Linked DNA regions of Arabidopsis thaliana. The protein of the gene in region 1 interacts with the protein of each later gene in a biochemical or structural test. Each region holds a gene or a part of one and is shown in the gene's direction. Other genes may lie near its edges.

Region 1 (5,560 bases):
AAAAAGAAAAAGACTGTGGTGTGTTGGAAAGCTACTGTGTGAGTCAGAGAATTTATAAAAGATGTAAATGTGTAGGAGAGAAATTACGTGACTATTTCCATTTTACTTGGATATTTTTTTTTTCCTTTTAGCCACTAGTGGCCGGTTACTGTATAGTAGTACTGTGTGATAGTACCTTTTAATTTCGGCGAATACCCACCAATGAAGAAAATGACTTAAACGTTGCAACTTGCAAGGCTACTTGGAAACTGCAGATTTTGTGTAATACACTATTCCCACATATCTAGTACTATTTCTGAATTGTCACACATTTTCATTTAAGTAATTGATCTTATATCTCATTTTAAAAAAATAACTAAATTATGGAAATGATTGGAGTTATGTTCCAATGTTTGGTTGGAATCATAGAGATGATAATCACCACAACAACATCATCAGATCCTTGATGATTCCTTGACTCCTTTGGTTTTGGCTAGCTCAAGTGGTATCCTCTCGGCTACATGTCCAAATCTTAACAATAATTTATTGTTCCGGTAAGGTTTACTTCAATATGGTATTATAAGAGAGCATCGAATTCGGATAATAATTAGTTCCGAGTTTATTTTTTTTTCATATCCGAATTTATTTTTTTTATGGTGACATTTTTTCTTCTGACTATGGATTTATTAGATTGTCAGTATGATTATGGTTTTTAATATTATAGACTTGTGAGACATGAATAAACATGGTTTTAAAAAATAATATGATGGAATTTCTGTTAAAAAATAAAGACTTAGTTTTAAATTTATGTTAAAATGAAGAATTTGGACGGATGATCATGAGATTATAATATGAAAATATAAAATGTTCATTTCACGAATCATAATTTTGTGTCCGAATTTAAGAAATAAAAGTTAACGTCAAAATGGGCCAAAGACTATGTTCTTGTGGATGCGTGAAACTGTCTTGGAGAGATTGCAACATCATCACACGATCTCCTATGTTGCGACAAATCACTCCTAACCGTCCACAATAACCAAAAAATATAATCATGACATTAACTCCTTTCTAACATTCCAAGATTTGTTAAACAAATTACTACTTAAGATGTGACTAATGGAAATTAAATAACTTAAAGTAATTGAAAGGGAAGGAAAAATGATGGTGCATGAAAAAATTCTTGAAATAATTTATTTGGCTAGCCTCTGATATATGTGAATCTAAATTATACATATATACGCAAGAAACTTGAAAATTATGCAATCACATTGACATTATCAATTTAAACTTAAAAATTGCTATTTAGTAATAATCAGTGGTTAAGCTTACACAAAACTAAATAAATAAAACATGACAAAAATTCTCGACCGTGAATTTTAACAAATGGGCCAAGAAAAATGTCGTCCAACGGTACGTTCATGAGGATGCACGACGACAACAGAAACACTTGTGTAAGCATAGGACCCACTAAAAGAGTCCCAGTTTCCCAAAACCAACAAATCTCAGCCGTCGATTCTTAGCCACTCGGACCAAAACGTACGCATCAAAATATCGTCCTCCCAAAGTATAACCTCAAGATTCTCACATATTCTCAGGCAATGCCATTGAGTATTTGAGTATTGACCCTCATCATGTGATTGAAAATCGCCACTCAACAACTATAACAACGCCACGTGTCACTCGTGTCAGTCCAAGCCTCCACTCTTCTTCTTCTCTACATAACTGACCATTCTTCTCCTCTGCTCTCTTCACTTTCTCATCTCCTCCATTGGCTCTTATTTCCTCAGTTGCCGTGAAAATCTGTGAGCTTTTTCTTCTGTTTAATGTAAAATTTGTCAAAGATTGTATCTTTCTATTTAAAGTATCGATTTTGATTGTTCATCTGTTGAATCCAGGTAAACGGGTAGTTCATAATGGCAACTGTGACTGCTTCTTCTAACTTTGTGTCAAGAACTTCACTTTTCAACAATCATGGTGCTTCTTCATGCTCTGATGTCGCTCAGATTACCTTAAAAGGCCAATCCTTGACTCATTGTGGGTTAAGGTCATTCAACATGGTGGATAACCTTCAGAGGAGATCTCAAGCTAAACCTGTTTCTGCTAAATCCTCAAAGAGATCTTCTAAAGTTAAGACTGCTGGTAAGATTGTGTGTGAGAAAGGAATGTCTGTGATTTTTATTGGAGCTGAAGTTGGTCCATGGAGTAAAACTGGTGGTCTTGGTGATGTTCTCGGTGGTCTACCTCCAGCTCTTGCTGTAAGTTCATATAAACATTAGCTTGATTTGAGGTCTTTACTTGTTTTTTGATGAACCTACATGTTATGACTTTTGTTAGGCTAGAGGCCACCGTGTGATGACAATTTGTCCTCGGTATGACCAATATAAAGATGCTTGGGACACTTGTGTTGTGGTTCAGGTATAATTCTCTCAAGTTTCTTTTGCTCTGTATGGACCTTGATGAATTTTGGATGCTTAGGTAAGTCATCTTGGAATGTTATTTGATGCAGATCAAAGTTGGGGATAAAGTTGAGAATGTTCGTTTCTTCCATTGCTACAAACGAGGAGTTGATCGTGTCTTTGTTGACCATCCAATCTTTCTTGCTAAGGTCTGTTTATATTGGTTAGATAATCACAAGGGTGTATTGTACTTTGAGCTAATGAGGAATGGTAATAATGCAGGTTGTGGGCAAAACAGGATCCAAAATCTATGGTCCTATAACTGGAGTAGACTACAATGACAACCAACTCCGGTTCAGTTTGTTGTGTCAGGTAACACTCTTTCCTCTTACTTCTGTAGTTACAGTTGTGTTGTTTCTGAATCGTGGGTTCTCATTTGATTGAAACATGTAGCCTACAGAGATTAAATTCATAAATAATGCAGAATCTGTGTTTGAATAGCGTACAAGCATGAGCAATAACTTGATTTACTTTGATCGTTGGTAGGCTGCTCTTGAGGCACCACAGGTTCTGAACCTGAACAGCAGCAAGTACTTCTCTGGACCATATGGTAAGAAAATGATTTCTCAATTCTTAATTAAAATGGTTTCTAAAAAATAAAACTTCAATTTTTGAAAAGTAACAAAGCCTATCTCTCTGATGTTATAGGTGAAGATGTAGTCTTTGTTGCCAATGACTGGCACACTGCTCTACTTCCATGTTACCTCAAATCTATGTATCAATCCCGCGGAGTCTACATGAATGCAAAGGTATAGATATAATTTTTGTTCCTTCATCATGTTAATTAGCTATTCATCTTAAAGTAGCAAACATTACCAAATCTTGAACTGAAACTCTAGCTTTGATACTTTTTACAATGAATATCAAAATATTTTACTTTTTTTTAGGTGGTCTTCTGCATTCACAACATAGCCTACCAGGGAAGATTTGCCTTTGATGACTATTCCCTTCTCAACTTGCCCATCAGCTTTAAAAGTTCTTTCGACTTCATGGACGGGTACTGGTTTCTCTGAAGAACAGATCATTACACCATTTTGTCTCATGTTTCAATCTTAATTTACTGTAACTTCTTGTTCCATTTTCAGGTATGAAAAGCCAGTAAAAGGACGGAAAATTAACTGGATGAAGGCTGCAATTCTGGAAGCTCACCGTGTCTTAACAGTTAGTCCATACTACGCTCAAGAACTCATCTCTGGAGTTGATAGAGGCGTGGAATTGCATAAATATCTTCGAATGAAAACAGTTTCCGGAATTATTAATGGAATGGATGTTCAAGAATGGAACCCGTCTACTGACAAGTACATCGATATCAAATACGATATTACCACTGTAAGATTTCTCTTGAAGATCAGTGCATTAGGACAGAAGAAGTTGCGGGAAATCTTTACCGATCTTGCTACTTGTTTTTACAGGTTACAGATGCTAAACCATTGATCAAAGAAGCACTTCAGGCTGCTGTTGGACTTCCCGTGGACAGGGATGTCCCGGTTATCGGTTTCATAGGGAGATTGGAGGAGCAGAAGGGTTCTGATATTCTAGTGGAAGCTATTTCCAAGTTCATGGGGCTCAATGTTCAGATGGTTATCCTTGTGAGTACACTAAGCAGTGAACTTGTGATCATAACGTCTTTAGGATCACAAAGTTATTGATTCTTGTCTGATGTTTTTCACAGGGGACTGGAAAGAAGAAGATGGAGGCTCAGATTCTTGAACTAGAAGAGAAGTTCCCAGGGAAGGCGGTTGGAGTGGCGAAATTCAACGTGCCATTGGCTCATATGATCACTGCTGGAGCTGACTTCATCATTGTCCCAAGCAGGTTTGAGCCGTGTGGTCTCATTCAGCTGCACGCAATGAGATATGGAACCGTCCCTATTGTGGCATCTACTGGTGGACTTGTGGACACTGTGAAAGATGGCTACACAGGTTTCCACATTGGAAGATTCAACGTCAAGGTAACTCAAAATCACCAGCTTTTCGCGCTTTTTCTACAACAGTTTCTTTCGACATGACAACAAATTGATCTAAAATGAGTTACCATTTTGCTTTGTTATATAGTGTGAAGTTGTGGATCCAGATGATGTGATAGCAACAGCAAAGGCTGTGACAAGAGCCGTTGCAGTATATGGAACATCCGCAATGCAAGAAATGGTCAAGAACTGCATGGACCAAGACTTCTCCTGGAAGGTCAGTGATTCAGTTCATTCTAAAGTTTGAAACTTTGTTTATATTGAGTTGTTGACATCAATCTTGATTTGATGTTATGCAGGGACCTGCGAGGTTGTGGGAGAAGGTACTATTGTCCCTTAATGTGGCGGGAAGTGAAGCCGGAACCGAGGGTGAAGAGATAGCTCCTCTGGCCAAGGAGAACGTAGCGACGCCGTGAGAATATGACTTTTGTTTTGTGTCAAAGTGGTTTGAAGAAAGCGTTGGGAAGTTAGGAGTAGGGAAGGTTGAGGAAAAGTAATGTATATTGGAAATGTTAGAGTCTAATATAATAATAAAAAAACTTTGTGAACACAATCAATCATATATAAGTTTATCATCACAATCAATAAAAAATGGTAGAATTTTACAGAATAGTTTCAATTTATTGTCACAATAATGTTTAACACATAAACACAATCAAACTAATAAGAAGATAAAATTTGAATGTAAGGAGGATATATGGAGGGAAAACGGTTAAGAAGAAGAAGAAACCGTTTCTTTTCTTGTTCGCTACGTCACAAATCTTGCTCAAATGCAAGATTCTTTACCTCTTTCACATTTCAGTTTAGATTTCTCGGGTTTATCTTCAAGTTTTGTGAATTGCTTAGGAGAGAAGTCAAAGAAGAGAGAAAGCCACGTCACTAAAACCCAAATCTTGGTCTAAAAACGATCTCACAAGTAAACAATCTCTGGTGATTTCTAGATGGACGACGAAGCCATGATCGCTGCCATTCAAGCTGGTGTTTGGTCAGAAGATCCTCTAACACAGCTTGCATGCACTACCGATATCAGGAAGCTTCTATCACAGAGTAAATCAAATCTATGGTTGACGGAAACTTACAGTTATTCTTTTTTGCTCTGCTGACGTGGAGGCGAAAACAGAGGCGACTAGGGTTTTTGCTTTCTCTTCACGCATGTTAC
Region 2 (4,814 bases), on another chromosome or scaffold:
TAAAATCCAAATAGATATACATCAGCAGAGCAGCTAAATCACACAACAAAGGTTAATGTAATTAAGTAAGCATTCCCATTTCAGGTCCCTAACTCAAAAACCTTACAACAAGAACAAACCAAGATAATTATCAGGATGAACCTAAGGAGATTCTACCAACAAGACTTGTAAGAAGATTTCTCACTAATGTTTGGTTCTCAAGTTTCAATTAAGATGCAAGGTACATACTAGAAGTATCAAAGATAAAAGGAACATAAGAGTTTAGAGGGTGAAATGAAAAACCTTAAAGCCGGTGAGATCAGGGACTACGTAATTCGGCAACTTATCTGGCTGCACAACATATCCTCCTGCAAAAACACCATGTCATAAAACTTAGGTAAAGATAAAATGAAGTCTCGAAAACAAATGCAAAATACATATACAATATGATGATCAGTTTTTTTTGCCAAAATGAAGTCTAGAAACAAATACAAAAACAGTATACTACACATGTACAATTCGAGTTAAGCTACCACATTTATTTGAGTGGAAAGCTAACTTCTTTAACTCAATTTTGGCAATTATGAATCTAGTAACACATGCAACCGATGATCAGTTCTTTGCCAAAATAGAGTTAAAGTTGTTAGCTTTCCTCCTAAACAACAATCTGGTATCTAAAGCTTTGCCTTAGATTTCATATATCTAATAAAAACACTCAATTATCAAAAACATTATGATGATCATCAATTGAGTTAAAGTTGTTAGCTTTCCCACCAAAAGAATCTGATATCGTAAGGCATGAAAACTAAACTGATAAAAGCTCTGCCTTAGGTTACATATATCTAATTCAAAACCAAGAACAACAAGATTCAATCACCAACTAACTAAACAAGTGTTAGATAGAAATGGATTGCAGCATGACAAGTGAAAACCAAACCAATAGTTGCAGTTTCAGTGAACCTTTCCTTGTTAGTAGTTTTGCCACAATTGAGTTAAAGTTGTTAGCTTTCCACTCAAAGAATCAATCTTAAGCCATGTAAATTCCTAACAATTAGTTCAAACAACAAATAACACAAGATTGCAATTATCAACTAAACTATAACAAGTGTTAGATAGAAATGAACTGATTCTCAAAATTAGGATGAAAGTTGGAACCTTTTCTCGTGTGGAAACCAGTAGGTTTGCAGTTTTTGCCCTTGTAAAAGTCTCTTGGAGCTCTTTTGGGAGAGAGAATGTCAAGAGAAGAAGATCTCTTTCTTCTGAATGATCTTCCAATCCCCATTAACAATCCTCCTATCGTCGTCATTCTCCACCAAATCTATCAATCTCAATCGATGGAATAACGGATCTATATCAACTATTGAGAAAAAAATACGGAGCTTGAGAAGAGAAGAGTGTGAAAATCTCAGAGAGGCCAAAAAATAGGGGGTTTGTTTAAGTGAGGTTAAAGGTTGAAGACAGTAAACGGTGTCGTTTGTTTTGGTGGAATTTGGAAAATTGTTTGTTTTCAGGAAAAATGTGACTCTTTGAAACTATAGGGACCATATTTGAAAATTAGTTCTTAGATTTACGCACGTGTTTTGTAGCCATTGATAAGAAAAACAAATTAGATTTTTTATTTTTGGTTCTGGGGTTTATCAGTGTTTCCAGCTTCTTCTTCTTCTTCACAGCTTTCTCGATATTTTTGAGAGTTTTTAACCAAATTAGACATTTTTAATCAATTTTTTTTTGTGTTGAGCAAGACGAAAAGAGTCTAATCCAATCATGGGTAAGTCGAAAAATCATTCCTTTTTTTAATTTTTTTTGGTTCACATTTCTGTTGAATTCAAGTTCTATAAAAGAACCCTAATGTTTAATTTAGGTATATATGTAAGATAAGTAGCATTTTGATTTATGTGAGACATTACTGAATTTTGATGATACAAGTTGAAGTTTTTAATTTTGTGAGTCTTTCTGATGCAGGATGTGTACCCAGAATTGAATTTGGTTGTTCAAGGTACAAAATTTCATATCTTTTTCTTATTCTAATTCACATTTTTGCTGATGTGAAACCAAACTTGTTATGATTCATCATTATAGTATTTTAAGTTTCTATTAGTTGAAGTGATTCTTCTTCTTCAACAGCCAAAGCCTTACTCTTTCATGGAACTTAAGAGCATGGAATTTGTGTAGATTGAACACAATCTCCCATTTCCAGAAACTTCCTTATCCTTTGGTAGCTTCTACTCGAAAACATTACAAGAACAGTTTGCTTTTGAAGAGATTTTTAGTTGGTGTTGGCACTGAGGAATCATCACTGTCAGAAGATTTACTAGATGAATCTCTTTCTCGACCTCTCACTAGTGATGAGGTTAAGCTTTATCTTCTTCTCCTGTTTATCTAAGCGTATGTGTTCTCAGATGATAAAGAAACTATGTTCTGTACCAACTAACAAACTCTCCATTTGGTTCTGTAGTTGAAGTCACTGCTCATTGATACAGAGAGATCAAAGCTTGTTAAAAAATTGAGTGAAGCTAATCAACAGAATCGGTTCCTCAAGCGTCAGGTGCTTGTGTTATATTTATACACTTACTTTAGTACCTCTATCTGTCCATTCTCTTAGATGATTTGAGAAACCTGCAACCTTATATCCTATTCTATTTAAGAAATTTAGTGTCTATCAGATTTTATATTATCACACTCTTGGAAAAATACTGAAAAACCTCCAAGGTTTAAGGGAGTTACATGTCTGTGATGTCACAGAAACATTTTCCTTCACTTCTCTTCTTTTTCTGTAAACCGGCATTGTATCAAATTGGAAGATGATGATGAATCATTTGCATACTTAAATACACTTTCCACTGTTCTTCATCTGTGTGTTTGATGAATCTTGTTTGAGATTTAATCCTCAATACTTATATTCTTGATGCTATTATACATCATCTTTTTTCTTTGTAAACAGACATCGTATCAAGGGACAAAACGAGTTATTTGACTTGTTTGTTGACTACTTGAACTCTTTTTGCAGCTTTAAAACACAGGAACATGAGATAACTAACATCAAAACTGAGCTTGCACTTATGGAGCTCGAAGTTCAGGTCTTTATTTCTACTTTTGATTTTTCAATGTCACGGTCTCACTATCTCATTGCCTTAAGCTGATTTGGTTTAGTTGTCATTATCCCATGTCTACTGCCAATCAAATACATATTTTTGTTGGTTATAATATTGGGAAATATTTAGCTTCAGATTTTTGTATGCACAAGCACATATGTATAGTTTCTTTAGTAGAAATGTTTCATGATATCACTTTCTGGAGGAAATAGGCTCTGGTGAAACTGGCGGAAGAAATAGCAAACCTTGGTATCCCACAAGGTTCTAGAAAAATCAGTGGAAAGTACATTCAATCGCACCTTCTCTCTCGTTTAGACGGTTCTTCTCATCCCCTCTTGGTTTCATCATTATTTAGGCGCTCATCAAATCCCTGGAATGATATACTAATTTTTTATTTTTTTCTCCCACTAAAGCTGTTCAAAAAAAGATGAAAGAACAAATAAAAGGTGTCGAGGCTGCACAGTCAAAGGAGGTTCATGTGTTCTGGATTGGCATGGCAGAGGTAGTGTAATAATCTCACATTATGCATTTTAACATTCTAAGCTTAATATATTATCCTCAAAATTAATCTCATTTGTTGATTATCTTCACATAAGAGTGTACAAGTAATGGGATCGTTCGATGGATGGAGCCAACGTGAGGATCTATCGCCTGAGTACTCAGCTTTATTCACCAAATTCTCCACAACGTTATTCCTTCGTCCCGGGCGGTACTATTTAAATTTTATTCTACTCTTATTCTTTTGCATTCAACATCAACTTTTAATGTTTGAAATTATTCGTGTTTTCAATCTCTTGTGAAATTTAGGTACGAGATGAAGTTCTTAGTGGATGGAGAATGGCAGATCTCACCCGAGTTTCCTACTTCAGGAGAAGGATTGATGGAGAACAATGTTTTAGTGGTGGAATAGCCACTCATCTTTCTGCATTACACCCGTAAACATTTAAGATTGGTGTGGATGAGATTGTAGACAATAGAATCTGAGTATTAGATACAAGGAATAGTATAATAGGTGGCAGGAGTCATTTGGATTTCTTATCTTTTGTTCACACAAAATCCAATCAATTTTTCCCATCTCTCAAAAGTTCTCTTGGTTTTGATTTCGTTTCATTGTTGTTTTGGCATTAGCTTTGAATCCATAGAGAGAAGATAGGTAGGTTCCATGTACATCAGAAATTTCTTGGTTTGTAAGAAAGAGATATTGGAAACAGAAGAATGAAGAAGAGTTTAGAAATAATGTACTAAACCAGAACTAGTGGTTTCAGGTTATCCCGGAAAACGAGTGTGTGAATCTATAGAGACTTTATTATCAGTAGACTCTGGTCCATTCAGTATATTCCGGTCAAGAGACATTTAAATGAACTAGGGAGATAACCGGGTTTTGATTAACATTTTGGAATTAACCAATTTGGTTCAGTTGTGGACCACATCCAACCCTAGTGAAAATCAATAAAAGTCATCAAGTGTAATAGCCAAAAATTGATGGACTTTTTATGAGTCTTACTTAACAATAATATGAGGCCAAAATTTGTATTTTCATTATTACTCCAATGTACAAATTTGTCAATATCAAAAATCTCAACAAGGGAAAAGACAAAAGGAAGGATCTAAATGTAACCTTCTATTTACGAAGTTAATCTTAGTCAACTTATTGTGACACCAAACCAAATGGTCCCTAGTCAATTTAGACATATTCAAGACTCTTGTCACAAGTTTCATGTCTACTTGTGAGAAGAAGTGAAG

The links.
Region 2: the proteins of GBSS1 (region 1) and AT5G39790 form a complex in vitro, tested with the Arabidopsis thaliana proteins (one study listed by BioGRID).

What each region holds. Positions count from the first base shown.
Region 1 is NC_003070.9:11,919,839-11,925,398, reverse strand, and holds GBSS1 (UDP-Glycosyltransferase superfamily protein), read left to right. Parts: upstream 1-1,532; 5' UTR 1,533-1,781; intron 1,782-1,874; 5' UTR 1,875-1,892; coding exon 1,893-2,234; intron 2,235-2,313; coding exon 2,314-2,394; intron 2,395-2,485; coding exon 2,486-2,584; intron 2,585-2,657; coding exon 2,658-2,747; intron 2,748-2,921; coding exon 2,922-2,985; intron 2,986-3,083; coding exon 3,084-3,184; intron 3,185-3,322; coding exon 3,323-3,432; intron 3,433-3,520; coding exon 3,521-3,764; intron 3,765-3,847; coding exon 3,848-4,024; intron 4,025-4,107; coding exon 4,108-4,386; intron 4,387-4,489; coding exon 4,490-4,618; intron 4,619-4,700; coding exon 4,701-4,817; 3' UTR 4,818-5,009; downstream 5,010-5,560. UniProt on the Arabidopsis thaliana protein: Required for the synthesis of amylose. Destroyed as it is released from the starch granules during the night. The circadian expression is controlled by CCA1 and LHY transcription factors.
Region 2 is NC_003076.8:15,932,051-15,936,864, reverse strand, and holds AT5G39790 (PROTEIN TARGETING TO STARCH (PTST)), read left to right. Parts: upstream 1-1,594; 5' UTR 1,595-1,743; coding exon 1,744-1,747; intron 1,748-1,941; coding exon 1,942-1,975; intron 1,976-2,103; coding exon 2,104-2,329; intron 2,330-2,434; coding exon 2,435-2,532; intron 2,533-2,986; coding exon 2,987-3,056; intron 3,057-3,283; coding exon 3,284-3,389; coding exon of another isoform or gene 3,390-3,484; coding exon 3,485-3,573; intron 3,574-3,667; coding exon 3,668-3,780; intron 3,781-3,878; coding exon 3,879-3,981; 3' UTR 3,982-4,308; downstream 4,309-4,814. Other genes in the region: AT5G39800 (Mitochondrial ribosomal protein L27), read right to left, coding at 283-347, 1,135-1,285; AT5G39785 (hypothetical protein (DUF1666)), read right to left, coding at 4,650-4,814. UniProt on the Arabidopsis thaliana protein: Involved in targeting GBSS1 to the starch granule.